Linked DNA regions of Tamandua tetradactyla. The protein of the gene in region 1 interacts with the protein of each later gene in a biochemical or structural test. Links are inferred from orthologs where the notes say so. Each region holds a gene or a part of one and is shown in the gene's direction. Other genes may lie near its edges.

Region 1 (16,629 bases):
GTCTTTTTAAATTTGTTGAGACTTGCTTTGTGACCCAGCATACGGTCTATCTTTGAGAATGATCCATGAGCACTTGAGAAAAAGGTGTATCCTGCTGTTGTGGGGTGTGATGTCCTATAAATGTCTGTTAAGTCTAGCTCATTTATTGTAATATTCAAATTCTCTGTTTCTTTATTGATCCTCTTTCTAGATGTTCTGTCCATTGATAAGAGTGGGGAATTGAAGTCTCCAACTATTATGGTGGATGTGTCTATTTCCCTTTTCAGTGTTTGCAGTGTTTGCCTCATGTATTTTGGGGCATTCTGGTTCAATGCATAAATATTTATGATTGTTATGTCTTCTTGTTTAATTGTTCCTTTTATTAGTACATAGTATCCTTCTTTGTCTCTTTTAACTGTTTTACATTTGAAGTCTAATTTGTTGGATATTAGTATAGCCACTCCTGCTCTTTTCTGGTTGTTATTTGCATGAAATATCTTTTCCCAACCTTTCACTTTCAACCTATATTTATCTTTGGGTCTAAGATGTGTTTCCTGTAGACAGCATATAGAAGGATCCTGTTTTTTAATCTATTCTGCCAGTCTATGTCTTTTGATTGGGGAGTTCAATCCATTAACATTTAGTGTTATTACTGTTTGGGTAGTACTTTCCTCTACCATTTTGCCTTTTGCATTTTGTATGTCATGTCTAATTTTCCTTCTTTCTACGCTCTTCTCCACACCTCTCTCTTCTGTCTTTTCGTATCTGTCTCTAGTGCTTCCTTTAGTATTTCTTGCAGAGCTGGTCTCTTGGTCACAAATTCTCTCAGTGACTTTTTGTCTGAAAATGTTTTAATTTCTCCCTCATTTTTGAAGGACAATTTTGCTGGGTATAGAATTCTTGGTTGGCAGTTTTTCTCTTTTAGTAATTTAAATATATCATCCCACTGTCTTCTCACCTCCATGGTTTCTGCTGAGAAATCTACACATAGTCTTATTGGGTTTCCCTTGTATGTGATGAATTGCTTTTCTCTTGCTGCTTTTAAGATCCTCTATTTCTCTTTGACCTCTGATATTCTGACTAGTAAGTGTCTTGGAGAATGTCTATTTGGATCTATTCTCCTTGGGATAGCTGCACTTCTTGGATCTGTAATTTTAGGTCTTTCATAAGAGTTGGGAAATTTTCAGTGATAATATCTTCCACTAGTTTTTCTCCTCTTTTTCCCTTCTCTTCTCCTTCAGGACCCCCACAACACGTATATTTGTGCGCTTCATATTATCATTCAATTCCCTGAGTCCCTGCTCATATTTTCCCATTTTTTCCTTATAGTTTCTGTATCTTATCGGATTTCAGATGTCCCGTCCTCCAGTTCACTAATCCTAACCTCTGTCTTCTGAAATCTACCATTGTAAGTTTCTATTGTTTTTTTCATCTCTTCTACTGTACCTTTCATCCCCATAAATTCTGTGATTTGTTTTTTCAGACTTTCCATTTCTTCTTTTTGTTCATTCTTTGCCTTCTTTGTATCCTCCCTCAATTCATTGATTTGGTTTTTGATGAGGTTTTCCATGTCTGTTCGTATATTCTGAATTCATTGTTTCAGCTCTTCTATCTCATTTGAACTATTGGTTTGTTCCTTTGACTAGGCCATATCTTCAATTTTTCTGGTGTGATTTGTTATTTTTTGCTGGCATCTAGACATTTAATTACCTTAATTGGTTTATTCTGGTGATTGCTTTCACTTCTCATCTAGGGTTTTCTTGCTAGATGAATTTGTTGTCTATCTGTTCTTTGACCTTCAGTTCAGCTTTTTCTGGACCTCTAGCTTAGGTTTTGTTTAACAGGGGATAATTTTTCAGTTCTTGTTTTCTTGTTTCTTGCCCTGCTTGTATGGCGCCTTTTCCCTCCCCATCCTTAGTAGGATCTACGTAGGTATTATAGACTCCAGCCAGGTTTTCCCGGACTAAACTGGCCTCCTATCAGGGGCAAGGAGTCACCTGCTTCAGTTTTCCCTGAGGGTGAGACCCAGCAGGTTAAAAGACTTTCCTGTGAAGTCTCTGGGCTCTGTTTTTCTTATCCTGCCCAGTATGTGGCGCGTCTGCCTGCGGGTCACACCAGCAAACGATGTTGCAGCACTTTTGACTTTGTAAGACTCTCCCTGCTGGGGGCGTGGTGGAGACGGAGGAGAGGTTGTAGGCTGGTTTTAATGGCTTCAAATTGCCAAGCCCTGAGGTCTGAATTCCTTGAGGGAGGGATTCCACCTGAGTTGGGCTTCACCTCTCTCCTGGGGAAGGCACAGGTGGAAAACAGCACTGAAAGCAACCCATTTCTGCCTATACCTGGGGCAGTTGCAGCCTGAGAAGTCCCACTGCTGAATCCAGAGGCTGCCAAGTCTCCGTAGAGACACAGCCACTAAAGCCTCCATTTCCTCCCCTTTCCTCTTTTTCCGTGAGCCCAATGAGCAACCTCTGCCTTGACCAGGTTTAGAGTCTCTTTCCTTTCCCTCTGGGAAGTTGCCTGTGGGGGAGGGGCGCCGGGCGCCAGCTGCTGTGGCTTGGGGATCTCACGGTTTTGGGGGGGCTTGCAGCCGGTTCAGCTGGTCCCGACTGGGGTACGCTGTCTGTCCTGTCACTGACGTGGCCCCAGGAGCTGTTCTGTACTGTTTCTGGTTATTTAGTGGTTGTTCTGGAGGACGAACTAAAACGCGCACATTGCTAAGCCGCCATCTTGGCCCACTGGAAGGTTTTTAAGAAGGATTCAGAAGAGACAGGTTCTCTTCCTGCTTCAGCCAGTGAGCCTCTCCTGTGGAGTTTGTTGCAACCTTCATTATAGTTACCAGCTTATGGCCTGTTCCACAGACCTTGGATTTTATGCTCCCACAGTTACATGAGACACTTTTATAAATTTTATATCTATGGATATTTCCTGTGGATTCTGTTTCTATAGAGAACCCTAGCTAATACGGATCCTATTCACTGGGGTCTCACTTTCTGGAAGCCTGGAATTTTCCAGACCATCAATTTCTCTTTTCTTTGTACCCAAAAGTTCAGTTCTCAACTTATTTCTTTCCTGTCACATTTTACTATAAGCTACAAGGAACAGCCAGACTGCATTTTCCACACTTAGTTTAGAAATTTCTCCTGCTAAATATCTAAGTTCATCACTCTCAAATTCTGTCTTCCATCCACAAAGAATGCCTTCCAGTTAGCAACAACACGTTCATCATTTCTGTCTAAAGCCTTATCAGAAGTATCCTTAGAGTCTACATTTCTACCAATAGTTTCCTCAAAGCCTTCTAGGCCTTCTCTATCAAGACCCTCACAACTCTTCTGGAATCTTCCCTTTATCCATTTTTTGGGGTGGGTGCATGGTCAGGGAATCAAACCCGAGTCTCCCGAATGGAAGGTGGGCATTCTAACCCCTGAACTACCCGTGCACACTCCCTTATCCTTTTTAAAAGCTGTTTCAACATGTTTGGTATTTGCAAACTGCAGCACCACACTTCTCTAGTACCCAAATCTGTATTCATTGTTAAGCTGAAATGGAATGGCTTTTATAAAGGGAATTTATCAAGCTACAAGTTTACAGTTCTAAGCCTATGAAAATATCCAAACTAAGGCATCCAGGAAAAGATACCTTAATTCAAAAATGGCCAATGGGTCTGGAACACCTCTGTCAGCTGGGGAGGCATGTGGCTAGCATCTGTTGGTCCCTTGCTCCTGGGCTCTGTGGCTTTCAACCTCTGTTTCCTGTGGGGGTTCCTCATTTGGCGTCCGTGGGCCTTCACTTGGCTCCTCTGGGAAACAAACTCTAGGTTCTGGCCTGCTCAGCATCTCATGGGAAGATACACAGCAACATCACTGGGCCCTGCATCTCCAAACGTCCAGGTCTCGTGTCAGCTCTGTCACCTCTCAAGTGACTGCCCTCCAAACATCCACTTCTGCTCTGCTTTGAGCGCGCTCCAAATTTTTTCCTCTTTTAAAGGATTCCGGTAAACTAATCAAGACCCACCTGGAATAGGTCTAGTCACATCTTTATCTAATCAAAAGTTTCCACCCTACAATATTGAACCAGGATTAAAAGAAATGGCTGCCCCCAAAAGATTGAATCAGGATTGAAACATAGCTTTTCTGGGGTATATAATACTTTCAAATTGGTGCAACTAGCATATTCACTTATGTAACCACATTAAATACAATTATCAAGTTTAAGAAATTTAACATTGATATAAAACACACAGTCTATATTCCAATTTTTTCAATTGTACCAAATAATGTCCTTTTGGGGATTTTCTCCTCCGTTATAAGATCCAATTCAGGACCATGTATTGCATTTAATTGTCAATGTCTCATTGGTCTCTCTCTGTTTTTTAGATTGTAATTTGCATTTTCTTGATGACTAAAGATGTTGAATACTTTTCTTGTGCTTATTCACCATTCGTATATGTTCTTTTGTAATGTATGTGTTCAAATCTTTTCTCCATTTTTTTTAGAAATTGGTAATTTGTCAGATCAATGGTTTACTTATCTATTTGGCTTACTTTTCCATTTTGTTAGTGGTGTCTTTTGATGAGCAAAAGTTTTCAATTTTCATGTTTATCTTTTTTTTCTTTCAAGGTTTTTTATTTTCTATGACTTAAACTTCTGCCTACCTCCAAGTCTTGAAGATGTTCTTCTGAATTTTAATCTAAAAGCCTTAAGATTTTCACTTTTATGATTTAGGTCTATGATCCATCTTGAATGAACTTCTGTGTATGGTATAAGGTAGGGATCAAGAGTCATTTATTTTCCCATAGAGATTTTCAGTTTTTTCAACATCGTTTGTTGAAAGACATCCCTTTCTCCACTGGATTACTTTGACGCCTTTGTCAAAATCAAATGACCTTTAAGTGCAAGTCTATTTCTGGTTCTCTAGTCTGTTCCATCTGTTTGTCAATTCTTAAGCTCTTACCACACTCTTTTGATTACTGTAGCTAACAAGTCTTGAAGTAAAGTGGTATAAATCCTTCAGTATTGGGAGTTTTAAAAGCTCCCCAGGTGATACTAATGTGCAGCTAAAATTTGAGAGCTTTGAGAACATTCTAATGTGTTCTCAAAGGCCCAGCTCTCTCTGTCACCATCCTTTAGACCTACATGAAAAACCAATTATTATACTTGATCCTACCTCCTTAATGCCTCTAGAATTCTTTTCTTCCTCTCCAATTCTATCACTAGTGCATTAGTTAAAAACATCATTTCTCACCTGGCTCCCTATCCCTTCTAAGAAAGAAAAAAATGCTAAGTCTTTAGTGTGACACACAAAAGCCTTTGTGACATACCCAGTACCCTCCCAAAAAGTACCTCAAACTTCATCCATACCACATTTTTCAGTTTCCCAAATGTTTTAAACTTACTCCTTTAGCCTCTCCTCCTTCCTACCTAAAATACCCTTTCCTACTTTCCTCACTTGTCATCTCCTTCGTCTCTTTCAACATTTATCCTGTCTTCACATGTCCTGCTCTGGCCTGATCCCTTCATCTATAATAAGTGTCCCTTCGGGGTTCTCAGGGCCCTCTGTGCATGTCTTTATCATAGGTTTCAGGTCCTGTGCTGTGACTGTCAATTACCTGTTGAGCAACCCCACTCATCTGTGAGCTTCTTGAAGCCTGAGAGGGTGTGTTTCAATCTCTTGTCCCTAGTGCCTTGTAATGTGCCTGGCAGGTGACATACCCAATGAATGTTTATTAAATGAGTGAAACATGGGCACAAATCTGCACTATGATTGGGGGCCGATTCTTTCATCTCTCTGAGGGTCTATTTCCTTATCTACCAACTGGAAATAACCCCTACGTCACAAGGTGGTTAAAAGGCTTAAGGAAGTGAATCCATATAAAATTCACTGCATGTGCCTGGCACTTGTAAAGTACTCAATAATTGTTGGCGCTCTTCCCTCTTTCCAGTTTCCACCAGACCCTTCAAAGATACCCCTTCCTGTGCACACTTCTAGTACTGACCACTAGGTGGTATCAGTTTGTGGTCTGAAATTCAGTCCCAGAGCTGCCCCATTATTGCCCTATCCCAGACCCTGTTGTACCCAGGCAGAAAAGGGAGGGGGAGGGAGGGTTTTTAACAATTTGCTGATGGGGGGGGGGATTGGGGGGAGAGTGGTCCAAACTTTTTTGCCCACTCTCAGCTTTCTAGGTCTCCCAGTAATGGATTGTAGAGAATTCCTCCTTGATTTCCCATGACTTTCACCAAATTCCATCTCCCAAATTTCAGGACAGAAAAACCTTCCTAAGAACAGCAGTGGGAAGAAAGAGGAGAAACTGAGGCAGAGAGGGACTGAATGATGAATACTATAAGAGAAAAGATAGGGAAGTGAGATTGCTCACAGTCATATCCCATCTGACATCAATTATTTATGACTGTCTCTTCCTCCAGGTCAGGTACCCCTAGTCCTAACATTCCTGCCAGCCTCCCTACAAACTAATCAAGAACTGCTAAGCCCAGGTAGATACAAAGAAGTAAAAGACATGGTCCCTGCCCTCAAGGAGTTTATAGTCTGGTGGTGGACCCTGGACCCATATGATCGAGCGCTAAACTCTGGGGCCGGAGGTTACCATGAGTGCAAGTTTAGAACAGATAGATAGGCAGAGATAGAGTAATAGGAAAGTTTTTCTGAAGAGGGCAGAAAGAAGCTGGGGAACAGTTTAACAAAGGCTCAGGTAGAAAGAGCATTTTCTTCTCCTAGAGACACCCTCAGCAGTCCACATACGGGAAACTACCCAGGTGCCCAACCATCCCAACAGATTATGGAGTGTCCAAGCAAGGAGATCCCAAGTGGCCAATATAAAGAATGAGCTTGACATGTAAGTATAATACAGAAAGGAATCAAGATGAGTTCATTGAACAAAGCAAGGTATAGGACAGTATAATATTGTAGGAGCTCATTTGTGTTATTTAAAGATATTCATTAATATTTGTCTAACGTTAAAAAAAAAGAAGACCAAAGAAACTATTAGCAGCGGTTACTCTGGGGACGTGGCTGAGGAATGGGAGTGTGGAAGAGTGGCAAGTTTGCTTTTCACCTGTACCTTTCTATCCTCTTTGAGTTTTTAAAACCACTAGGCATGCACTTCTTTTTTTTTTACAATATAAAGTTCTTAAAAAATAAATACACATTCACATTTAGGAAACAGCAGGAGCGAGGAGGTAGCCAGAGGTCAGTGTTGATATGCTGGCTGAGGCCAGATTTTGAAAGGCCGTGACTGTCTGGGAGAAGCTTTCACACTTGACTCAGTTGCCTATAAATACCCAGGAGAGGGTCACCAGCAAGGGAGAGACAGGGAGAAGGCCGAGTTTTAAGACGATTCACAGGTATAAGACAGATGGAAGGGAAAGGAATGAGGCTGCCCCCTCGGGCCACACAGTCACTCAGATACCTTTTTCCTTTCAAAGCTGCAAGAAGTCCGATTCCACCTGATTTCACTTGGATTGGAATGTTCCGAGGGGGCCCTGGGAGAGGGAGGAATCTAGTAGCGTTCATTAAAAAGCATTTAGTGAGTCCCTGCCAGGAGTTAGGCCATGAGGTCCGCATACAAGGATGAATAAGACCCCAGCCCCTCTGGAGAAACTTTCTCATGCAGTGGAAATGGAGGAAATCTGAGATATATTTCCAAGGAAAAAATGACAAGCCTTGAACACAGGCTTGCAAAGCAGCAAAGAGGGCTCGAAAGAATCCCTGGTTTTGGTAAAGGTCAAGTTCTTTCTGGAGTCCTCTCGTGCTCCCACTGCCACTAACAATTTTTTCATGCTGTCCCTGTAAGGGAAAGACTGGAGTGAGGACTTGGGACCTTTTTTGACTAGATTTTTAGGAAGGGAGAAGGGTGCAGCAACTGTTACTCATCTCTAAGGTTGATTTCCTGCTGCCAGTGTCTCCAGCCCCAGGTCTCTGAACTCTTGACTTCCACACATCCAGAAAGTCAGATACCAAGGATACTGCCTGAAGACACCACCCAGAAGGGGGCAGTAGCCAGAAGCACCTTCTCGGACTCGGGGAACCCCCAGCGCCTTCAGGACTCAAAGTAGCATTCCCGTACAGGCTCCGGGCTGGGGACAAAGGTCTCTCAGCAGACACCCCCTTAGAACCCCACGCTGGAAGCAGAGAGGTGCAGAGTCTCTCCTCTGACTCCAAATCCCTGGTGCTCAGGAATCTAAAACCCTGACTTGGTGGGAAGCCAGCCAGAAGATTAGAACAAAACAAAACAAAACCAAAAAAACAAAACAAAATGAGCCTCAACCTCTTGGGGGCGAAGGGGGGTGGCCCTTCCTCAACGCCACCCGCTAGTGACTCACCTCCCTCCAAACCAGAGCCTGCCCCTCCCGCGCCCGGTGCCAGGCGAGCAGGGCGGGGCGGGTGCTAAGGTGGGCTCCATCCCCGAGCCCTCGGCAGGCGGACAAGCTCTGGCGTGTCCCCGCGGGTGTCCCTGTTTACTCCGAACCCCGGAGCGACCAGGGGGCGGGCCCTCGCGGCCCCTCCTCCACCCGCCCCCCTCCGCCGCAGGCCCCAATCCCGGTCCCGGTATTACAAAGTCTCCAAATCAAAGCCCGGCCTCTCCCCACACCTTCCCGGCGGACTGGCGGCCCCGCCCCCACCCTAGGCGGGGGAGGCCTCGTCAGCAGACCTCGGAGTCTTGGACACCCCCAGCCCTGGGAAGTTGGGGGGGGGAATGAAATCCTAGGGTACGACTCTGAGTTTCTAAGAGGAGCGGCTCTCCTCGCCCACTGCCCATCTCCCCACTTCGCCCGTTCAGCTCTCTGGAGCGCAGAGCAAGGGGCCACTCAGGGGAGAGGGCGCTGCGGGTCCCAAATGGACTGGCGGATGCCCGGGACCCCCACACTCCGACCGCTTCAGAGCTCAAGTCTCGGTGCTCCTCCGACTCCCCCTCCCCAGGGCAGCGCGCCAAACCGGCGCATGCGCACTGCCAGGACTGCCGCGTAGCTCTTTCTACAACCCCCCCCCCTACACTTTTTCTTTCCCCGCCCCTTCCCTCCCTCCTTCGCTCCTCTCCCGGTCCCCTCCCTCTCCCCCCTCGGCCCCCCCGCAGCATCTCAGTCCAAGGAACAGCGGTGTGAGCTCCGGGCCCGTGCACTGAGGAGGCGGAAACGAGGGGAGCCCCCAGAGCTCCATCAGGCCCCTTTCAAGGGCTCCCCCACCCGGTCCACGCCCCCTACCTTCCCCCCTCCCCGCCTCCTCCCAATTGTGCATTTTTGCAGCCGGAGGCGGCTCCGAGATGGGGCTGTGAGCTTCGCCCCGGGAGGGGGAGAGAAGAGCGAGGAGAACAGCAGGGGGTGAGGGGTTTGGATTTGGGGGCAGAGGGCGCACCCCCGTCAGCAGGCCCTCCGCAAGGGACTCCCAACTCTGCCTCTTCACCTACACCCCTGGTGCGCTTTGCCAAAGGAAAGGATCAGAATAGCGGAGAAGAAGAGGGGAAGGAGGAAAAGGGGGGATCCCCCCAAATGGGGGGGCGAAGACAAGAAGTAGCAGGACCCGGGGGGAGGGAGCTGCTGCTTGCATCAGCCCACATCATGCTGACCCCGGCGTTGCTGCTGCTGCTGCCCCTGCTCTCAGCTCTGGTCGCGGCGGCTATCGACGGTGAGTGAGATTCCGCGGCCCCCTTGGACCCCCGGGGACACCCCCTCCCCAGCCCCCACTCCTGCGTAGAGCCGGGGAACAGAGACGTGGGAGGGGGTGTCTTTTGTTATCCCAGTCCAGCTGACACAGCAGCGGCCCCACTGGGGGCGGGGATGGGGGTATGATTTGGGGGGATGGGGGCCTGGGCAAATGATGCTTCAGGGACCCCCCAGCCCAGACAAAGACCAGAGGCCTGGGTAGGGAGATGAGGGCTCCCCCTTTCTGATCCTGAGATCCAAAGGCCTTCTATTCCTATCTCTGTCCGGGAGGGCCTCTGCCTCCCCTTCATCCTGCATCCCCCTCCCCAATCTGAATTGTGAAGGAATCTTGGTTTGCAATGTGCGGCTGCAAAAGGGGGCGGGGGTGGGGGGGGTGGGGTTCTGCCTTGGCCTCTGAAGCTGAAGAGGGTAGCAGGGCCAGGGATGCCCTGCTGGGCGGAGGGCAGGCAGGCCCAAGAAGGCTGTGGGTGGGGAGAGGGAGGGCCATGGGGAAGGCCCCCTGCTTGGGTGTGGAATCTGGGCCCGGGAGCCCAGGCCTGGAGGCCTGGATCCAGGATCCAGCAGGGCGCCTGCCTGCGTTCTGGAGTCGGCACTTCCTGGCCTCAGGACTTCTGTCAGTAGCCTGGGAAGAGCTGTACTGGGGGGCTAAAGGGGTGCAGGGGATGCTTTGTGACTTTGAATTTTCCTTCTTAATTCCTGGGAGGTTTGAGATGAAAAAACGTCATATGTCATCATTGGGGAAGGGTACTGAAGAATGGCCTGGAATGCTGGAGTGGGGGTGGGGGGACTGCTTTCTCCCTGGCTTCTGGCTTGATCACAGTTGGGTCTAGAAGGAGAGTTGGAGGGTGGGTTAGGTTTATAGCCATACCCCCATACCCCAATTCCCTGATCCTTTGGTAAATGTGTTTATTTATCCCACCTTACCTCAACCAGATATATACATACTTTGTATACTGCAGAGTTAGGTTTCTGCTAGAACGAACAGTGTCCCTTTGGGGAAACGGGATGCACCCTCTGGCCTTTTTCTGTCAGCTGTTTTTTTTTCCCTTTTACTTGTGACTCACTTGTTCAAGTCTTGCCCAAGATTTGTGCTGGGGTTATGGGTTTGGGCCCGGGGACTGGGCCGGATACCATCATGCAACAAGCAATTGTCCTCCTTTCCCTTACCTCCCCCTCCTCCTCCATCTTCTGAATTTTGCCAGGTTGTGATTGGGAAAGTTTTTCCCTGAAACCAGATTATCTCTCCCTCTCCTGCCCTCCCTGGAGCTTGCTTCACTTGGGGGAGGGGTTTATGGGGTCAGGAAGCAACGATGCCCAGAATACTGAGGATATGTGTAGTGGCCCTCAGTTATCCCATCCAGGGCTCTGTTTCTTTGCACCCCCTCCCACTCCCTCAATTATCAGTCCAAGAGAAAGAAAGGCACTCTGCCCTGAATATCCTCTAGACCAGCCTTCACAGCCAGCCTTTGCCCATGACTCCCTCAGTCATGCAAGTTCTTGCCTCTGTTTCTCAGCTCTGTAGGTTGGGAGGGGAAACTGAGGCAGAGAGATTTTAGTGCTGCAGTTCTGGGAATGGATAGGGAAAAAATATATATATATATATATATTTTTTAGTATGGAAAGAGAAAGAGAAAGACCCATCAGGAACCCCATGAAAGAGGGTGGACAGAGTTAGGCAAAAGCAAGGGGTCTCTGTGGAAAGCAGAAAAGGCCCCCAGCCTGACCAGGAATGGGCTCCAGGTAGCTTCACTCCCAGAGTTCTAAAGGGCTGTAATCACCACCTCAAGCTGGCTCCTCCTTCAAGAAGGAGGAAGATGGGATAAGTTTTCCTTAACTATCTCCCTATCCTTCCTTAAAATCCCCTGCTGCAGCCCCAGCTCACACCTCTTCCCAAAGTCCTAGAAAGAGGACCCCTCCCCCAAAGCACACCGTGACTCTCATCCTGGGAATGGGACTGGTGCGATGAGGTCCACCCCATGGACAGGGCTGGGGAGTGGACCGGTGACTGCCCAGAACTGTGCCACCATCTGTCTTTATCCTGGGGCAACCAAAGGGTCCTCTCATCCTTACCCCACCCTCATGCTTCAGGTGCACACCCTGAGCTTTCTCCTTTGCTTCCAGAGAAGGACGCCCCCTGGCTTGGTCCTAACCTCCCTTCCTCCTGCTCTCACAGGCCCTGCTGCTTTCCCTGCACAGGGGCCTCCCCCTCTCCTCTGTGCCTAAATCCACCCTACAGTCCTCTCTGGGGAGTCGTGTTAGTTCCCACTAGTACTCAGTGCTGGTGCTGCTGGGGAGGATGGAGAGCCAGATGGGATGGCGAATGGGAAGAGGGGTTTTCGAGGGTCTGGTTGAAATCAGGGAACGCTGTGTAATGGGAAGGACAGCCCCAGGCAGACGTGGGTTGCGGGGAAATGCTGACATCTTTCCTCTCTTCCTACTCCTCTCCACCCATCTCTGAACCCGTCGGGGTATTACCAGTTAGCAGGCAAGGTGGACCGTTGAAGTGAGTTATGAGGTTGGGGTGTTACCCTTCGATTCCTTAGAAGGTTGCAAACCCTTTCTCTTCGGGTCAGACCTAAATCCTAGATCGTCCCCCCTGACCCTCACTTTTCAAAGAGGGGTTTATGTAGAACGTTCATTTTGGGGTTGGAAGAATACTTTGATGTTGGGGCTATATCACATAACTACCTTTTTTTCCAATCCTGCTCACCTTCCCTCTCCTTCCATTTTCTCCTTATTTTTGCCCTCGAAAACTCTCCCATTACTGTATCGCCCAAAGATGTCAGCCAGAGCCTTGGCTAGAGCCAAATCCTGCCTAAATCCCCCTTTCCTTCCCTTTGGGAAGTCCTTCCTTATTCCATCTAACTCTCCTCTAGCTTTGGTTTGGGGGCTCTCTGTTCTTGGGAAATCTGGGTGCAGTTGAGTGGGATGCACGAAGGTCCTTGCCTTGGCACTCTGGGTGCCGGGTGTGAGCCTTTGGGGAACCCAGTCTCCCTACACACTCACACACACAGAGCCCACTTTGTGTTCTGTCCCAGATTTCACCCGGGTTAGCAGGATCCTGCATTGTTTGGAGAAGGAAGCAGTTGGCTCTGGAGTGCTTCCGGAGCAGTGGCCCCAGGCTCCCATGTAAAACCACCCTGGGAAAGACTTGGGAAGTGAGGGGGCATTGGGGAGAGGAGTAGGAGGGGAAGCTGTTGTCCCTCTTGCTCCCCCAGGGAAGGTGAGGGTCTCCCCGGGCCCTAGCTTCCCTGCTAGAGGAGCTCCAGTCTTCGTCTCCCCCTTCCTCCTGACTCCATGGGAGGCAGTGGTCCCCATTCTGGGTCTCCCTTGGGTCAGATGCAGCTACGGCAGGGGCATTATGTCCCCAGCCCAGGGTGTATGCTGCCTTCCACCCTACTCGGAGCTTCAGGGAGGTTGTCATTCTCTGGGTTCATCCCAGGGCAACTGTGTCATTGTCTTGGCAGCCTCTGGGCTAAGATCCTTCCTGCCTTTTTTTGCCTCTGTCTGTCGTTGGTTTGAGCTGCCTTGGCCACGCAGAACCCCTCTGTTTCTTCTCCTCTCGGCTCAACTCTCTTATTGCCCATCCTCCATGGTATTCTCTGTCCTGTCTCTTGGTCTCTGTCACTTGTCTTATATGTCTCTGCCTGTTGCCATTCACTTCCATCGGGCCTCTTGGTACCCTGAGAACTACCTGGGAGCAGGAGTGTCTCCTGGGCCTTCCCACATGCTCCCCAGCTCCCATCATCATTTTGGAGTTGTTCTTTCCCTCCCTGGCCAGACCCAAGAAGGTCTGGTTCAGTGGTGAAAGCTCCCCCTCCACTTTCCTCCAAGTTCCTCTCTCTCTTTTCCCCTCCACTAATTTTTGGGAATGGATTTCGGAGAGAATGTTTCTGGAAGAAGGGAACTTGATCTCCTTTGTGGGCTGAGTAAGAGGAAAGAGGGAGGTGTCTCAGAAGGAAGGAAGGAGGTTAGACTTCTGTAGGAACTTCCTCATGCGCCGGAGCCTGAGAACAGGAGAAAGATGGGGAGAATGAGTCAGGAACTTAGAGCTTTTACTTCTAGTAAGCATAGGCCCTGTGTGTGGGAGGTGGGGGGCGGGGGGGTGGGGAAGGCGGCTAATAAAGCCTGGCGAGAGATATGGTGACCTCTGGAGGCATTTGAAGGGTCTGGATTTTATTTGTGGGGAAAGGAAAAGATGGTGGAGAAGTCACGGTCCAGGCTAATGTCCTGCTGAGTCAATATTGACTCAGGATGAAGGGGGAGACCCTTCTCCCCTCCCTGCGGTTCAAGCCACCCTGTCTGTCCTTCTGTCCAGGCCACAAAGCAGAGGCCCAGACTCAGGAATGACAAAAATGTGTCTGAGCCTCACTGAGCTGCAGGAAGGAGCCAAGGGGTAACACCCAAAATACATAAAATGAAGTGAAAAGCCCTAGGTTTGGGTCTGCAAGGCCTTCGCCGCCCCACCCCCATGTGTTTATAAGTTCAGGTTCTGGCAGGCTCTGTCCCCCACCCCCACCCCCCCCAGCGACCCCCTGGCTCCTCTGTCCCCTCAGATATATCTCATGATCCCCCTTCAACAACCTCCCCCACCCCGTGCACGCGCACGCGCGCCCACACACACACACACACACACACACACACACACACACACACACAGTTTCTCCCTCTTCCCTGTCTGCTCTTGGAAAGGGTCTCGAGGGTCTCCTGCATGCTTTCCCTGTCTCCTTGTCCTTGTCCCTTGGGAAGGACCATCTGAGCCTTCACCTCTCTTCCTCCTCCTCACTGCTCCCACAGGCTTGGGGAATGATGGGCCCATCTCCTCTGGAGAAGACTCCTTGAGGGGTCTGTGCTTTCTGTGGCCCTCTCTTCTCTGACCAGGCACTTGCCAGCCCCCCTTCCCTACTCCCCAAGGTCCCAAAACAGGACAGAGGGTGGGAGCCAAGGTCCCAGTGAGGCAGTGGGGTCCGTGTTGTGTCTGGATGCACACCCAACCCTACACCTCCTCTCCTGGCTCCAGCTTGTGGTGGCCCTGGGGGCCATGGCTGGGCTGGGCGCCTGGGTCTGGGCGGGGGGTGGGGGCGGGCAGGGGTGTTGACCAGAGTTAGCATGGCGGTCACACTCATCTCCAGGCAAAGCTGAGAACAGACGGCCCTGTGTCCTGTGTTCTGCCTCAGCCTCGCTCGCTCTCCTCCTTTCTCCTCTCCTCCTTCCTCTCCCTCCTCTCGTCCCTCCTCGTCCAAGACCCATGCTTGTCCCCTGGGTCTCCTCCACGCACAGCACTAGACCACTACCACCTCCAAGGTCCCTCTCTGCATCCCCAGTGACAAGAGAGCCAAAACCTTCTCCCTACCGTTGCCTTCTAAATCTGACCCCTTCGCCATGGCGGATGAGTGCGCTTACTAATCCCCTGGCCCCTCAGTCTCCTCATCTGTGAAATGGGAATCACCATGGTGCCCACATCACGGGGTGGAGAGGATCTAAATATCTTTGGGAAGCCCCAGTGCTGGGGGCGGGTTTGGCCACTAGCTGCTGCCCACTTTCTTTCGGGCAGGGTTGTTGCCTCGTCTAAACTGCAGGCCACAAAGGTGGCTTTTCCGGGTGCTGGGCTCAACTGCAGAGGGCTCGGCGGAAGGCTGGGGTGTTGGCTGCTGACCCCCAGCAGCTCCCGGGTCCCCACCCCCAGCACAGCTCCCTCCCAGCCCAGAGCCAGGCTTCCCTTGGCTGTGTAGACTGCCCCAAAGTAAGGTATTTGTTTTGTTCCTCCCCTCTCCCCGTGAAGGAAATCAAAGACAGGCCTCAGCCTCCTAACTTAAGATTCCCGGGGCTTTCTCCTGTTAGGGAGGAAGGAAGTCCTTTTGCCTATCTCTCCTCCATCCTTGGGTGCTTGTGCTGCCCTGGCCCTTGGGAGATGTGCCCTCACCCCACCCCTGGGCCCGAGTTGATGCTGCTGTTGGGCCAGGGGCCCTGAGCCGTCCTCTTCCTTTCGCTCCCCACTCCCCTCCGTCAGAGAGAGAGAGAGAGAGAAAGAGAGAGAGAGAGAGAGAGAGAGAGAGAGAGCACATCTGGTTTGTGAATCTCTCTCATTCCAGCTTTCGGAGTTTGCCAGCTGCTGTTTCCTCTGTCGAGTTCAGGCCAAAAATGGGGGTGGGGGACAGTCAGGAGACTAAGTGAGGGCCAGAGCGGGGGTGGGGGGACCAAGGCTGGGACGTGGAGTGGAGGGGAGGTCCGAGTGACCAACCAGTGACCTCAGACCCTGTCTGCAGAACCTGACCCCGGGACAGGCATCCCGTGGAGGACTGAAGAAATGCGGTGAAGCTTAGGGTGGCGTAGGGGTCCGTTTCTGGGCTCCAAACATCCCATCTGCCTCCGAGTCCGTTCCAGCCCCCCCAGCCGCCCAGCCGGCTTCGGCTGGCCAGGGGAAGAGGACGGTTCTCCGGCATGCTAACTAGGCTGGCAGACTGTGTTTCCCGGGAAGACCTCACAGCTGGCCCAGTGGGGCAATGAACTCAGCATTATCCACCTCCTCAAGGGGCCTTTATTCCCGGCTCGCGGTGGGGGTGGGGGGGTGTAGGAGATGGAGACTCTGGGTGGGGGGGCCTGGCGGGGCCATCCTTGATGTGTTTCCTGAACTCGGCTCTCATCTTGGCCAGGGGCCTGAGTGCCACCCACTCTGCTAGAGATGTGGATTAGGGTGGGGGGGGCAGGCATCTGCCAGACCCTAACCCTCCCTGCTCAGAGCTCCTAGGCTTTATTTACACCTCTGTCTTGCATTCGGGTTAGTGCAGAGCTGTCTTCCCAGGGGACTGGGAGCCCCTGAGAGGCAGAGGGGAGTCTCACTCCGCTTTGACACCCCCAATGCCTCGTGCAGTGTCTGCACAGAGCTGGCCTTCAGTGCATGCCAGCTGAACGGAAATGAAATTGACCCAGGCCGAGGAAAAGGCCATGAGGGGCTGGGACGCTGGGACCCCGGCGCTGG
Region 2 (15,752 bases), on another chromosome or scaffold:
CTGGTTTTTTTTAGGAAGGGGGAGATGGAGAAGGAGAAGGGGATGAATACTAAAGAGGGAACTATACAATTGTGGGTACTTTTATTTCCATTTTATACCTGAGGAAATGGAGGCTCATAGTACTGTTAGCTGCATAAAGACAAAATAATTCCTTTTCTTTGGGAAGCTCATATATGCCAAGAGAAAAGAAAAATTAACTATATATGTTTTCATGTGAGTCCAGATGATGAGGGGTTGTTAACTATCCCCCCCAGATAGAGATGATAGACCTGTGCCATGGGCTGTGATCTTGAGCAAATAATTTAACTTCTCAGCTACAGTTTTCTTCGCTGGAAAATAGAGCTAATACTAGGGCCTACTTCATAAGGTTGTTCAGAGGCTTACATGAGACATCTTATAAATATAGGTGACCAAATACCTTTCCATTCATTATAAGTTTAATCCTCACATCAAGCCAAGGAGGTAGGTGAGAACCCCACTGTTTATTTTGCCCAAGAGACGAAGTTACTGACACCTAGTACGGTCATTCAGTCATAATAAATAACAAGCCAGACCTATAACCAAAGTCTTCTGACTCCAAGCCTTACACATATTCTCTTTCCACTGCACCATGCTGTTTAATGATAGCCCCAGCTCTCTGTATCTCTGTGCTGCAGTTAACAGGATTTACATAGAATCAACTACACATGCAAATGATTAGTAGCATGAAAACAGGTAATTATTATTTTTTACATTTGCCTCATCATAGCTGATCTTTGTGTTAGACATTTTTTTAGCAATGAATGACTGAACTAAAGGGCTGTAATTCATTCAGATGGTCATTAATTCTAAATGTAAAATTCATTTCCTGTCACTCATGTTGCTAAAACAAAAAAGCAGAGAATGACTATAAAGCAATCTTAGACTATAAATCTAAGCTGGGATTCACCTATCCCGATCTTCTAATTTACAGATGAAGGAAATGAAGCCCAGGATGGAGTAGTTCATACAATTAATTAGTGGCAAAGCTAGAGCTAGAACCCAATGTCTTTATTTCTCTGCCATAATTTTGCTGCTAAACCGAGAATGTTGATTATCTAACTCCTATATGGATAGAAAATTCCTGATTATTTAAAACATTGAGGGTATAGGAAAGAGAGATACTTAATGTGCTAATGGTTGCAAAATGAAAATATGTTAAAAATCCTTCACAAATTCTCTTGTGCTTAATTTTATCTTGATTATTTCTACAACGCACTTGTGAGGGAAAGGGGGGTATCTGCGTGTATTGAATGGTCTCATTCGAGTCCTGCTGATGTAAAGGTATGAACTAAAAACATTTTACATTAAATCAGAGCAAATTGCTTATGGTAACCATTGCATAATGAAGGAACACAATGAAGAATTATAGTTCAAATTACTTATCAGGTCTCTTCCATTTTCTAAGTTTTTAAAGTAGAAAATTACACAGTATAATTACAGTAAGTTAATTTGCATTCATATTACAATTCAGTGAGCAATTACATTCTTTTTTATTTAAAAAAAATATTTTATAAAGAGTGATTTGCATCAGTATGTTTCCAGGAAAGAGTGGCGACATTTTCCTTGTGAGTTTTTCATATGAATTCAACTGTGCAGCCTATAGCTTACACTATAGAGTTGTGGTCTCTTCATTGGCTTTTTGGGACAGAGAGGAAAAGAACCATTGAAAGGTGTGACTATAGTTTAAGAGCTTTTTGACCAGAACTTCTCAAGGAATGAGGGAATATCACGATTTGGAAGGAGAACTTAAAAGATCTGATTATCCAAGGCCCCTTCTTCCCATTTACTTTCACCACCTGAAACTTGAATTTCTCTATCACCATCTTGCCAAGCCACCATCCCACCTGTATTGGATTTACTCAGTTCCTGGAAAGACTTCCTTTGTCATGACACACATTGCATCTCTGGACAGTGCTTTCATTTTATGGATGGGGCTTCCATTTTGGGACCCATTCTTGCTTTAGCCCCCACATTGATTGCTTTGGCCATATCATGTATACCAGAGAGTATTTTTTTAATCTAATATTTTATTCAGGACTTCCACTATTAGCACAAAGATCCATGTTGGGCCATAATAGAGTGGGACCTAAACGGATCGTGGGGGCTGGTTGACCCTTCCACCTTCTCTATACCTGCTCTTCAAAAAACAAAACAAAACAGATTGAGGTAAAATAGAAATAGTGATATTCACAGATCTTATGAGTACAATTTGATCACTTTAAATAAATGTGTATACCTATGGAATCAACTTTACATTAAAGATGTAGTGCATCCCATTATCCCTGAAAATTTCCTGTTATCTTTCCAGGTAATCCCCCTCCAGAGCCAGCAACTATTCTGAATTTTTTCATCATAGGTTAATTTTGCGTGTTGTCGAAATTCCTATAGAATCACATTACTAACCTGTTTTTGGGTCTATCTTCTTTCACTCAAATTGATTTAAAAATCCATCCATGATGTTGGGTATATTGGTAATGCATTTCATTTCTCGCTTAGTGATGAACATTCCATTATAGGAATATTCTACTACTTTTTTATCTATTCTATTATGGCTAGACGTTTGAGTTGATTTCAGTTTGGCCTATTATGAATAAATCTGCCATAAACTTTCTAATATACGTCTTGTGTACATGTGTTTTATTTCTCTTGGGTAAATATCTATATGTGGAATACCTAAGGGTGAGTCTAACTGTAAGTATGTGTTTAATTTCATAAGAAAGTACAAAATAAAGTGGTTATATCATTTTATACTTTCACCAGCAACATTTGAGAGTGCCACGTCTTTACCAATAATTAATGTTGTTAGACTTTGAAATCTTAGTAAGTATGAAACTGTATCTCATTGTGGCTTCTTTATTTGCATTTGTGCATTGTAATGTGCATTATGATCAAGGATGATGTAAAGCACCTTTTCATGTGCTTATTGATCATTCACTCATCTCCATTTTAATTATGTGATTTGTTTTTATTATTGATTAGTTAGGAGTTCTTTATATTTTCTGCATCCAATTTGTCAGATATATGTATTGAAAATATTTTCTCCAGGGTTGTGGCTTACCTTTTCATTTTCTTAATGTCCTTTGATCAGCAGAAGTTTTACATTTTTATAAACTCTAATTTATCATTTTTCTCTTTTATGTTCAATAAATTTTTGTCCTCTCTAAGAAACTGTGCAAACTCTCAAACCATTACGATACTCTCCAGTGTGCTCCTCTAGAACTTTTATAGCTTTAGTTATTCTATTTTGTTCTACATATGGCGTGAGAAAGGGGATAAAGTTCATTATCTTCCATACATTTATCCAGTTGTTCTACTACCATGTTTTAAAACTTTTCTTTTCTCAATGATTTGCATTAGCACCTTTGTAAAAAACATTAGTTGGCCGAATATATGTTGGTCTATTTTTGGATTCTCTATTCTGTTCCATTGATCACTTGGTCTCTCATTAATGCCAATATCATACTATCTTGATTACTCTAGTTTTATTGTAAGCCTTGATAGCAGGTCGTGGAAGCTCTTTAGCTTTGCTATTTTTTTTTTTTTCAGGATAATTTTGACTATTACAAGTCCTTTGTATTTCCATGTACATTTTAGAATTAGCTCATCAGTTTCATGAAAGAGTGTAGCAGGGATTTTTATTAAGATTGTACTAAATGTATAGTTCAGTTTGTGGAGAATTGACATCCTAACAATACCGAGTTTTCCAAACCATTAACATGGTATACCTCTCCATTATTTTGCTTATCTTTTAATTTTCTCAGCAAGGTTTTGTAGTTTGTGGTGTAGAAATATTGTAGCACTTTCATTCAATCATTTCTAAATATTTTATGTCATGCCATTGTCAATGGTATTTTAAAATTTGATTTTCCAACTGTCAGTCCGATTAACTGTATAACTTTGGAGAAAATGTTTAACCTCTCTGATTTTATTTCTAATCTGTAAAATGTGAGCACAGTGCCTTGATATTCTTCATAGAACCAAGCCAAGTACAAATATATAAAATATCTTGCTGGAGTACTTTAAGAACTAAATTGGATAATGTACAGGAAGTGCATAAAACAATGCCTAATGTATTTGGCTTTTGATTAAAAGTGACAAAAACTGGCTTAAGTAAAAATGGAATATATTGTCTCCTGAAACTGAGAAAACCCAGGGGGTAGGAGAGTAGTTGGCTTCAGGCATGGCTAAACCAAATTCCCTGAACAATATCATCATACATCTCTATTTTCTCTCCTTCTGTTTTAGATGTATCAATTATTTAATTTTGTTCTTTGCAAGTTTAGAACACCAACTTGTGAGGGTAAACACCATTTGGAAAATATGGAATCCTTCACAAATTTGCGTATCATCCTTGCATGGGGCCCTGCTATCTTCCCCGTATCATTCCAGTTTTAGTATATGTGCCACAGAAGCGAGCACTGTTTTCTTATCTTTTACTCCTCTTTTCTTCTCAGTTAGTTTCATCCTCCAAATGCTTTCTTCATGGGATGGGTTCCGGCAGTTATAGGCTTAGCATCTTTCCAGTTTCAAGTTCAGTGGAAAAGAGAAAACATTTTTCCATGTTGTTCCATCATCCATTTGACTATGTCTGAACTGTGGCCAAGAGAATATGTTGCACTGAGTTAACTTGTCCAACCCTGGAGCCAGGGATAGAGTCAGCTCCACCAAAACTAAATGGAGAAAAACCTGTTCAATGGGGGAATGGGGATCTGGGTGTTGTTTCCAGATGAAGCAGGAATGGGTACCACTGAGGCAAATGACAAATATCTACCAGAACTCTAAAATAATAGCCAAAAATTAAATGATAACTGTATCCCTTTCTATGCTGATTCTTCCCTGTTTCTATACTCCCTAAGTATCAGAAACTCAGCCATGTTTTTATAGCTTTGAGCCCACCTATTTCTCCAAGCACTAATATCACCTTAAGCTCCCCTTTATGAGTGAAAACATTGTGGGGGGGGGATGTAGTGGGACACAAGAGGCCTTTGACAATCATTTTAGCTTTCTACTTGTTTTCTATTGTGCTTTAAGCTAAAAAGAGCAGACTGGTGACATAAATACTGTTGCATTGTTGCTGCTCTCCTTGACCCCTCTTGGTGTGTGTGTAGCAGGGGTGGGGGTGGGGTGGGGTTAGAGGGTAGGGGGGGGTGGGACAAAGAATGCTATTTAAAGCTACTGTCAACCAGAGTCAGGTTTAATAATATTGCTATGCAACCTTTCCCTGGAATTAAGCAAGGCCAGTAACATAGGTATCATGAAAGAAGATAAATTCTTTTTTAATGAAGACACATAGAAATATTTTTTTTCATAGGATTTTTAATCTTAGAAGAAAAATAGGAATTGGATATTTTACTTGTGTCCAGTGCACACAAGCAAAGTATGCCAAATGTGATTACTTTAAGGTTTGCAAAATATTTATCTCCTTTTTTTTTCCTGTTTTTTTTTTTTAAAGTGATCCCTTTAATTTTCATGCTAAATTCCATTCTCCTGAATATGGCAAATAAGACCTTTTATAATTTGTTCTCGCTCCCTTATCTAGATTCAACTATGCCCTGCCTCCCACCCCCAGAGAAAATTCTCTATGCACTTACTCTTTTCTTTGCCTGGAATGCCTTCCCTGCCTCATCTGGTCACCCAGTTATCTTTCAAGATGGTAACACCTCTTTCACAAAGTCTTCTTAACTCTTTACCTGAGTTAGATGCCCATGTTTGATGCTCCCCGAGCACTCCGTACTTGTCAGTATTATAGCATTTATCACAATTTAATGTGATGATGAGTTTCCTTCCCCTAGCTATGAATTCTTTGAGGGCATTTTTTTTTTCTTTCTTTCTCTAACATTGTGCCTGACAAAGAATAAGCATTAAGTGAACATTTGTTGAATGAATAGAATTTTCTTCCCAAAATACAGAATCTGAGTGTGAATATGAATCTCAATGAAAGGGACAATGAGAGGCTTAGATAGATTTGGAATTAACCTTGGAATCTGTGTGTATGTAGTAGTATACTTTGAGCACCTAAGATCTTCCATGAGCCTGATAGGGATAATCCTACTGGACAGGTTTAACAGTTTTATTAATTTGAGAGCTTTATATGTATAGAAACTTTAGCATATTCTTGGTGTATGTAAGCACTACAAACTATTAAATAAATAGAGATTATGTAATAATTTGAAAACCCCAAAGCTTGCAACACAAATCAAGATATTATACTCTTTACAATGAGAAGCATATTTGGAACAATTATAGGAATAAACAGAATTGTAAATGCTATGTAATACACAGAATGGACTACTTTGCTTTCCCCTTTTCAGAGGAGTAGTTATTTGGCAGGATTTATGATTTTCAACATTTGGTTAACCATGGGTCAGTCTTAAACAGCACTTACATAGGCTGCCCTTTTGAGTATCTTGAGAATCCTGTTCATAGGAATCAATTATGTGAAGGTTCAATAATGTTCCTTCTCACCCATGTGCATGCTACCCATGTCCATGTCTTTTATTAAATTGACTCTGAGTTCCTTGAAGATGGGGTCTGTTTCTGATTTATCATCATTATCCCCAATGCCTAGCACAGTGCCCGAAAAGATGGCATATACTCCACAAATCCTCCTTAAATTAAAATGAACAATGTTGGAATTATTTTGGGAAGAAAATAGATGTTTATTGTGCAACTTATACAGTGCAAGACATGTCCAACATGCCATCTCATTTAAGGCTCACAGCAATTTCATGAAGCAGGTATTGTGTAGTTGAGAAGTTTGAAGTTCAGAGAGGTAAGTAACTTGCCAAAGATGACTGAGGCCCATCAAAATCCATACTCTACCCAGTACAGTACCCAATAAGAGTACTTCCTTCACTGGGCTGTCATGTAGGTTAAATGAGTTAATATATGAGAAGCACACAGAATGGGTCCTGAAATAGAATAAGTGATATATAAATGTTTGCTCTTGATCATCTGGTTAGTCTGCTGTTTCTCAGAGTAGATGATAAAGAAATATTTATCAATTATTTTTTCTTATCTTGCACTTAATACAAGTGACATCATTGCCAGAAACCTAAATAATAATAGAAAAATCACCCTAAATTTTAGATGAGTAGTCTGACATGTTTAGCATAATAGTTTAAGAATACTGCGTTAAGATTTGTTTTAAGTTTCATCCAGAAGACCACTAGGCCCTTGCTGGGCAGCTTGTATGCCATCAGAATCTATAGATTATGCTTTCTTCCGGTCTGGAGTGAGGAACAGCTGCAGTGTCTTGCCCTTTTGGATTGCATGGGAATGTGCCCAGTTTCCACAGTGGACCCAGTCCAATGCTGAATAGAGATTGAGTTTTAACTTTATCCTCTTTCCCTTTCTACTCCTCAGCCAACTTGGTGTCCTGCATTCCCTTCAAAGTCTGTAATCACAACATCAGTCCAACACAGGACCTGATGGAAGACAGGAGGAGACAATTCACATATGCAGGGCTAAATGCATGTGAATGTTTTTTTATGTTCCATGATTGCCCTCAAAGCATGGAGAAATTTCAGAGTGTTTCTTGGTAGAGTCAGTAAAAAGTTGTATAGATGGTCCATTAACCACAGCTTGACATTTGTCCCAGCTACCCCTCCCCCCATTTCAGTCATAGCTTCTCTGAATTGTCCATGTCTCCTAAGTTCTGTCTTTATAGACAAGGAAAAGCCTGGCCAGCCTGAACTTCATACTGAATGAAACTGAAGTGATAAGGTGTCAGCTCTTCCTACTCTCTAGAACGCTGGGAAGATTTGAGAGACTTGAGCCCATTTTCCTGGTCCCCCACTCTTTGCTGGCTACCCCCAGAAGTAAGTTGGAGCAGGGTAGGATCAGGGGTGAGGACCCTCTCTCCCCCACCACCTCCACACACCTTGTTGGGAGTTTCCTCTGATCAACTAACTATTCTCCTAAGATTGCACCCTGCCAGTGACCTCACACATTTTTCTTGTCTCTATGTAAATTGCTATCTTTTCAGGAGGTGCATGACAGCCTCCGATTGTACGGCCTCCATTTGTACAGAAGCTGTTATTACGGAATAAGTTTAATGGGTCGTGAATTTTGTGGAGAAAGGGAGGGTCTCGCGATGACTTCGTATGTACCAGTCATAGACCTATTGGCTCCATAAGGAGTGCATTAGGCTAAATATTTTTAGCCCATTGACTTTGGAGGTAATAACCCTAAATGCTTCATTAAATTTTCATGGGTGAGCTACAGAAGCTATGAGGAAAAACAAAAACCAAATCCACCACATTAGCTTTATTATTACACAGCTGGAGAAGAGGAGCATAGCCCCTAAAAAGGAATACAAATAAACTTTTTAAGGAACTACTGACTGCCCCTTCCTTTCCTCCTGGCGCCCTGCTCCAGCAAGGTAGCGCTTGGTTTGAGTCCCTACCCTTCCACCCCCCACCCCCCCACTCACCCCACAGCCCCCTGCATCTCGGCCTCTAGAGACAGGAATGGTGCAACAGGCATTTAATGGTGTTGAAGAATTTACTGGAGCTGAAGAATTTTCAGAATATATTTTCTGCAATTTGGCGTTCTTAAGATCTCCGTAAAATATGGCCCAAAGCAGGGAGCGACTGAAGTGTATACGCTGGAGCATTCTCCCGCGCAGGTTGAATTCAGCGATCTAATCTACGGATTGTGTACTCCCAGGCATTCTAAGAACCGGAGCTAGGGTGAATTGGGGCATATTCTCGGGGGTGTTGACTCCTCCCAGGACCGATGAAAACCAGACAGACGCACATCTTTTTTAGCCCAAGTTTGCCTCGGGAGTTTCAGTAACAACAGCAAGAGCCGAGAGCCAGGGTAGGCGGCTGAGAACCAGCGCCCCCTCCTGCAGAGGGGCATGGGGGCAACACAACCCCGTGAGACTTCCCTGATTTTTTTTTTCTCGCCCACTGGCACTTTTTATATATTGGTATGTGTGTGTTTTGAGGCTTGGATAAAAGAGAAAAATGAGGGAGGGTCGGGCGGGGGCTGCTGGTGGTGGCGGTGATGCTGGCGAAACGACGGATACTTTTGGGAACCCGGAGTCTGGTTGCTTTTAGCCCTCCTCCTTCTCCCAATCCTGTCTTCGTCGGCGCAGCTGGGGCGGGGACCCGGTGCTCTCTGATCCACTCACCCCCTTCCACGCCGGGATGGGAAGTGAACGCAGGGGCTCCAGAGACGCGACTGCGAGCCGCGGCGCCCCCGCTCGCTCGCTTTTCCTCCTGGCTGTTGCCACCGCGACTCGCCTAAGCTCTCCGAGCGCGCTCGGGCGGCGCACAGAGCGCCCCAGCGGGAGCCCGAGCCCTAAGGCTGAGGCACGCGGCGCGCCGCGGGACCAAGGAGGTGAGCGAGGCCGCTGGGCGCCGGGCGGGCGCGGGGGGCCTCGGGGCGGGGGCCGGAGGAGGAGGCGGGTCTGCGCGTGGGGCGGTCTCCTCCCCCTGCTCTGACGCCAGGCCCGTGGCTCCCGGGGAGGATGGACCCTGCACCGCGCTCGCCGGGGCTTCCCCGGACTGGAGAGAGCGCCTGAGTCCCGTCGCCCAACCGGCATGGGGAGCCGCTTCCTGGGCGGCTGCGGCAGCGGAGGAGGATGTTGTCGGCGAGCCGAGGTGAGGCGCGGCGAGGGCACGCGGCAGCCCTAGAGTTCAACCCGGACAGGTGCCGGGCGGAGACACAGCGCCCGGACACCTGGCGTGTCTCCGCTGGGGACCCCGGGGCTCCCCTCTCGGGAGTTTGGCAGAGGGCGCTGCGTGGGTATGGCGACTGCAGCAGTTTACCGCTCGCTCCCTCCACTTGCTGGAGTGGGGGAGAGGGGCGACCTCTGCTCCTTCCTCCCGTCCTCTCTCCTCCCGCAATCTCCGTACTTCTGGCCACGCGCGATCCTCTTTCTAGACTTGCTCACTCAGAATTGCTGGGCTGTCTCCGGATCCGCAGCATCCTCCCTCTTGGGGTCCCAGCTCTGTCCATCTACGAGCTTTCCTTCTCCCACCCCAGAACCTCATCTGTGGTCCCGGACCCTGCTCCTCTCTCACGAGCAGCGCACCCAGTCCCGGACGAATCGTATTCTCACTTGCCTGCTACCTGGCAGCGCTGCGGTTCTGCCTGGACCTGTCGGAAAACCGGATCTGTCCTAGTAACCGCCAACCCTTCCATGTAAATATCAGGGCTGGACCCCACGTCTCTTTGGGCCCCAGCCTTCCCTGGGTCCTCCGTCGGCTCAGATCTCTCCGGCTCCTCGGTCCCTCCTTCCTTCCCATTTTTACTTCTCGGGCTCCACGCCATCCCGATACCTCTCCTCTCTAACCCTCCCCTGTCTGCTTCAGACTCGATCGGCCTCGGATGCAGAACTCCGATTTTTGTTTTTTGTTTTTCCTCCTATTGGGGAAACTTTAAATAAATGCCCGTGGTTCGGCGCATAAAGGAGCCATGAAAAGGGGTTCCTAACCTCTGAGAGAACCGGTAGTCAGAGAGTGAGAAATGGGGGGGGAGGGGGGGGGAGGTTGTGTCGCGACGTCTGAAAGGGCCCGGGCGGGTGTAGGAAGTAGTACATTTTTAAAACGGGGGTGTTTGCTGCAGCCAGGACCCTCCTCCCCCACTCGCTCCGTCCCGCCAAGTGTTATTGTGACCCCTGCTGGGAGGGCGCGTCTTTTCTCTGCACTTCCTAAGGCGCGTGGTTTTTCTTTTTCTTTCCTTTTTTTTTTTTTTTGTTTTTTTTTTTTTGGTGCTGGTGGTCAGAACCCGACTGAGGTCTGGGAGAGGGTGGGCACTGACTGCCTCGCGAGACCGATGGCACTTGGCTCCTGCGCAGCTCCTCCCGGCCCGGCCAGACTGTGTACGTTTCACTCCGTAGAAACCACCCCCCAACTGCATCACACAAGTCCTCATTGTTGGGGGTCTGCTGCCTTGGCACTTCCGCCTTGGCGGGGAGAATCTGAAGGAATGGAATGGGGGTGGGGAGGCCGGGGGCGCCGGGCGTCCGTGGCCTGGCTGTTGCCCGAGGGTCCGCAGCCCGCGGAGTGGCGGGTGCCGCCGCGCGAGTGTGTGGCGGTGAGGGTGGGGTGCGTGGGTCGGTGCCTGCGCGTGCGTTTGGATGTCGGTGCACGGCCGTGTTTTAGCGCGATCAGAAAGAGGGGCGAGTCGAGAGCTCGCTGAAGCGAGAGCGCCTTTCAGTGCCCCGGAGCTGGGCGGGCGGGTACCAACTCTGAGATGGATGCTACAATGCAGTTCCTAGCGTACCGGCGGGGAACCGAGCGAGAATCTGCTCTGCTGCTTCTCCACCCACTACCCCCCTCCTGCTCCCCTCCTGCTGGCCCATTAGATGCACTTTCACAATGTTGATGGTTTTGGATAAAGGCCTTGTAGGGGTTCAGCTGACACTTCATAACACTTAACATGTTTTCAAGTAATCATATAAATTAAAGGTAGCTTATGTTCAGAACCCCCTAATTATCCAGTTCGCGTTTGTACATTTATGTGCCAATTATAGGTATTCGGGGGAAATCCATAAAATTATAAACCATCTCCACCCCCTGAATTAGCACCCATTGTTTATTATTATTGTTTTTTTTTAAATCAATCTCAGCGGTGAGTGATTTGGGATGGAACCCCGAGTTTCAGTCAAGAAGATGCAAGGGACGGGGGAGGGAGAGTTTGGAATAGGAACAGTCCCCCCCCCCCCCCCATCTCTTTCACTCCCTATCTTGACAGGGCTTGGTGACAATTCTGGAAACTGAAAGGGATCAAAGATTTTCTTGATTTCCTATTGAGAAGGGCGACCTAATCAAAGCTGTATAAAAGTCAACTTCTGAGCAATCAGAAATTGTCTGCTGATGTCCTTGATTGAAACCCCAGCATTCAAATGGAGTATTGAAGAACTCCCAGAAATGGCTTTTGAAGAGCTATTGTTCTTTTCCACACACACAGACTCTTTTAAAGGTTGTAGGAAGTTTAAAATGTAGTGGTTTGAAAAGACAGACATTGTAACTATTTGGCAAGAATGGTTAGGATCTGCAGGGATGAGAGAAGAGGCCCAGGTGGGAAGAGTAAACTTGTTACTATCTTCTTGGGAACAGTGACACTATCGAGTGGAATTTCAGTTCTACACATGGAATTGGCAATTAAATGTCTTCGTAAAGCAGATTTAGAAGATGATTTTTACTAGCTTTTTATTTTTTTTGGTGGTTTGCTTAAGGTCTGAATAGGCATATCTGAAACATTTAATCATGTTCATTGTATTCAACAATAAAATCTGAATAAAAATTACTTATTGTTGATGAAGCTCATCTTGCAAGCTGTTGCACAGTATGTCTCCGTTGCAAGACACAGGATTGTGTGAGGCTGCCGGAAAGAGATTCTATCACTTATTGTTCATTTTCTCCTCCCAAAGCCAGAGAGGAACATGCTTCTTCACTCCTCTTTGCCGTCCAAAGTAATTTTTCTTAAATGAGTGGGTGTTTGGCTTGGTACCTGATAGTACCCATCTTATAAATTGCATTTGGTGAATTTCTGATGCCCAAAGCCACCCTGCAGGCAGATGAAGAAACTAATTGAGGCAGCATTTCATTTTGATGATTCACTCAAGTCAAATATTTTGTTTTTGGTGGAATTTTAATCTTTCTCTCGAACTAACAAAGCTGACAAAGCAAGAAAATCAACTTATGTCTTTTAGATGGGCACTTTAAAAAGTGACATAAATTAAAGGGGTGTTGTCATGAACTTTCAATCTGTTATTTAGGATTTACTGTGACGAAGGCTGGTGTTCACTGGCTGAGTTAAGTGATTGAATCTAAATCGCTTAATCTCTCAGAATCTCAGTCTCATCATGGAGTTTTGGGCAATTTTTTTTTGTGGAGAAACATTTCATTGAGTGCTTGACGCATAGCAGGATTTCGAGAAAATGGTAGCTTTTAGGAAGGAGAGACGATGGCATTTGGAATTGGAGGACCTGAATTGAGTCCAGCTGCTTCCTAACTTTGTGATGTTTGGCAAGTCACAGTTCTTATTAATAAAAAGAAAAATAATAAACAAATAAACATTTATAGAAAAATAAACATTTATAGAATACTTACTAAGAGTCTGTTGCCCTTTTAAACACTTCACATACATTAACTTATGTAATAACCCTAGGAAGTAGATACTGTATCTTTATTCTCATTTGATGGATAAACTGGGGCACAGAGAGATTTAGTAACTGGCCTGAGGTCACACAGCAAAGAAGGGATAGAAGTAGTATTTACTTTAAATCTAAGCATTCTGCTTCCAGGGTGTGTTCTAACCACTGTGCCTCTGAGTAGGGAGATGATCCCGGCTATCCCCCAGGGTGGTTGTAATATTTAATAGGGGATAGTGGAATAGTAAGACCTCCTGTAGAATATTCTACAGATTTTCCCAATTTCACATGCTACCTACACGAAATAGGTGTTCCATTGCCAGCAGGGCATTGGGCTGATGGTGGTAGGAATTTTTAATATTTGTGACTTTGTGATAACCCCTGGCAGGTATTGGTTAACATTGTCCACTCTGTTAAAATATTCATTAGTTAACTGTACAGAAATGCATATTGCTGCTGCTGTCAGTTACTGGCTGTGGCAAACACCGATTCTCAAATGAAAAGGTGTTAGAACAGGTGATTAGAAGCCTGGACTTGGGTGCTTGATTGCTTGGGTATGGACCTCAGCTCTCCCAGCTCTGCCAGCTGTGTGGCCTTGGCCATGGTATTTAATTTCTTTTTAATACCATTTCTTCATAATAACAGTGCCTGTGTCATGAGATTGTTGTGAGGATTGTAAGAATTAACACAAAGTGCTTAAAGTGGCACCTAGCACAGATTGTTACTTAGCTACTAAAGTTATCCTTCAAATAAGAGAAACATCCTTCACCTTGTTAATAAAAAATTGTCTGTCATTGATATGCATTCTGATAGTATCTGGTCTGTTTTTTTGTTCTTTTTTCCTTGTTTGCTAACCAGGTGATAGAGAGAAAGAGATACTTATCAGGATTTTTAGGTCAAGGTTTTGTTTTGTTTTAGATAATTGGAAATACTTCCTTGAACATTTCCCCTCTTTGTGAAGGGAATTGTGAAGCATACATAATACTAAAATCTCCATGTCACTGTACTTTTCAGCAGTTATTTTGAGGAAAATAATATGACTTTGATTTTGATTGAATCTTTGAGGTAGAGTAGTCAACTTTCCCAATTGACAGATGGGGTGGAAATCAGGCTGGGGGAGATACCTTAACTTTACATTGGAGCCCAGAATTTCTGTGCTCCCTCCACTAGACCAGATTGTCTCCTATACCAAGGTAGAGAAGTCGCTTGAAAAAGTGAATAAAATTTGGATTAGGAAAGATATTGATAAGTTAAGAGCAGGAGCCAGCCAGATGTTCTATACTGGAAAAATTGTGCCCAGTAGGAAAAGAAAACCCCTTCTCTAGTAAGTAAATTTATATCCATGAAAACTAGCACTGAACTCAGTCTATGAAATGTGAATCAGGATATGAACTCACGTAAAAAAAAACCCAAAAAAAATCATTACGCTAATTAATCACCTGAACACTTCCCTTAGGTTGGGGAGCAAATGTTTAGATTTCTTTTTCTGTGAGATTCTTTTCATGTATTTCTTCCATTTAGTCCTCAGATATGGGAAGGTTTTGGTTCAGGAATCATAAAACTCCTCTGGCTTCTACTTCATGAAATATGCAGCATATTCTATTGGAAAGAAATTGCCAGCTTGCTTTTATTATTATTATTTTATTTTATTTGAAGCTGACATATAACCAATCTACAATGCCAGTGGGGGATTCTCATAAAGAGAAAGAAAGACAGAAATAAAATTCTGCTGAATACAAGAGCTCACAACTAAAATGATGCAAGTTCTGTGGTGGCAGCAGTGGGCAGTTTAGCTTGGGGAGTGAAAATGGGGGTGGAGGGGCACCTCTCAAAGAGAGTGACTAGTTCAGAGTGTACCCATGTCAGCAGTGTTGCTGACCTACAGTGAGCCATGCAAAATTACCAACCCTATATATCTGCCCAGAGCTTTTTACCAATAATCTCTGACATGGTTGGTTGGTTTCTCTCTCTTGATTGGACTCATGATCACTATCAGTTTAGCCAACTCTTTCTCTGCCTGTCTCTGCCTTTTACTCTCTCAGTCTTTTTTTTTTTTCTTTTTTTCAGTCCTTATGTCTGTCTGTTTCTAATCTTGTTAGGTTTGCATTCACAGGAGAGACTAAAAAGTTATGAATAGTGTGCCTGTCTCTGTGCTAGGCATTGTGAAAAATACCAACATGAAAAGGTATTCTCAAGGCATACAGTCTGTTGCGTAACTGCTACGGTGTGAGATGTGGTACAGAAAACGTCTGTATAGCACTGGAAGCTTCCAAGACATAATTGTATTCTGTCTGGAGAAAGGACAGCTTCTTAGAAGATGTTTTTCAGCTGGTTCGTGAAAGTTGACCAGTTTCTCAGAATGCAGGCGTTCCAGACCAGGAGAACTGTAGGGACAAAAGCGTGTAGACGTGAAGGTTGATAATTGGTTTGAGATGGGCATAGTTGGGTGTGGTCATAATATAGAAAATGTTGTTCTAGGGAACACTATGTCCCTGAAGATCATTATGAGTAATTCAAAGGTAACAATGTACAAAGAGAAAAATTCCGCAGTCAAAAATGTTTGGAAAGTACTCAATTATATATCCAAAACTTAAGAAGAAATGGTATTTACTGACAAAGT

What was found.
Region 2: the proteins of LRP1 (region 1) and DAB1 form a complex in vitro, tested with the Homo sapiens proteins (2 studies listed by BioGRID). The link is inferred for Tamandua tetradactyla from reciprocal best matches to the Homo sapiens genes LRP1 and DAB1.

What each region holds. Positions count from the first base shown.
Region 1 is NC_135333.1:124,309,651-124,326,279, forward strand, and holds the start of LRP1 (prolow-density lipoprotein receptor-related protein 1), read left to right. Parts: upstream 1-9,050; 5' UTR 9,051-9,476; coding exon 9,477-9,612; intron 9,613-16,629. UniProt on the Homo sapiens protein: Endocytic receptor involved in endocytosis and in phagocytosis of apoptotic cells. Required for early embryonic development. Involved in cellular lipid homeostasis.
Region 2 is NC_135328.1:163,546,380-163,562,131, forward strand, and holds the start of DAB1 (disabled homolog 1), read left to right. Parts: upstream 1-9,503; 5' UTR 9,504-9,632; intron 9,633-15,752. UniProt on the Homo sapiens protein: Signaling adapter of the reelin-mediated signaling pathway, which regulates the migration and differentiation of postmitotic neurons during brain development.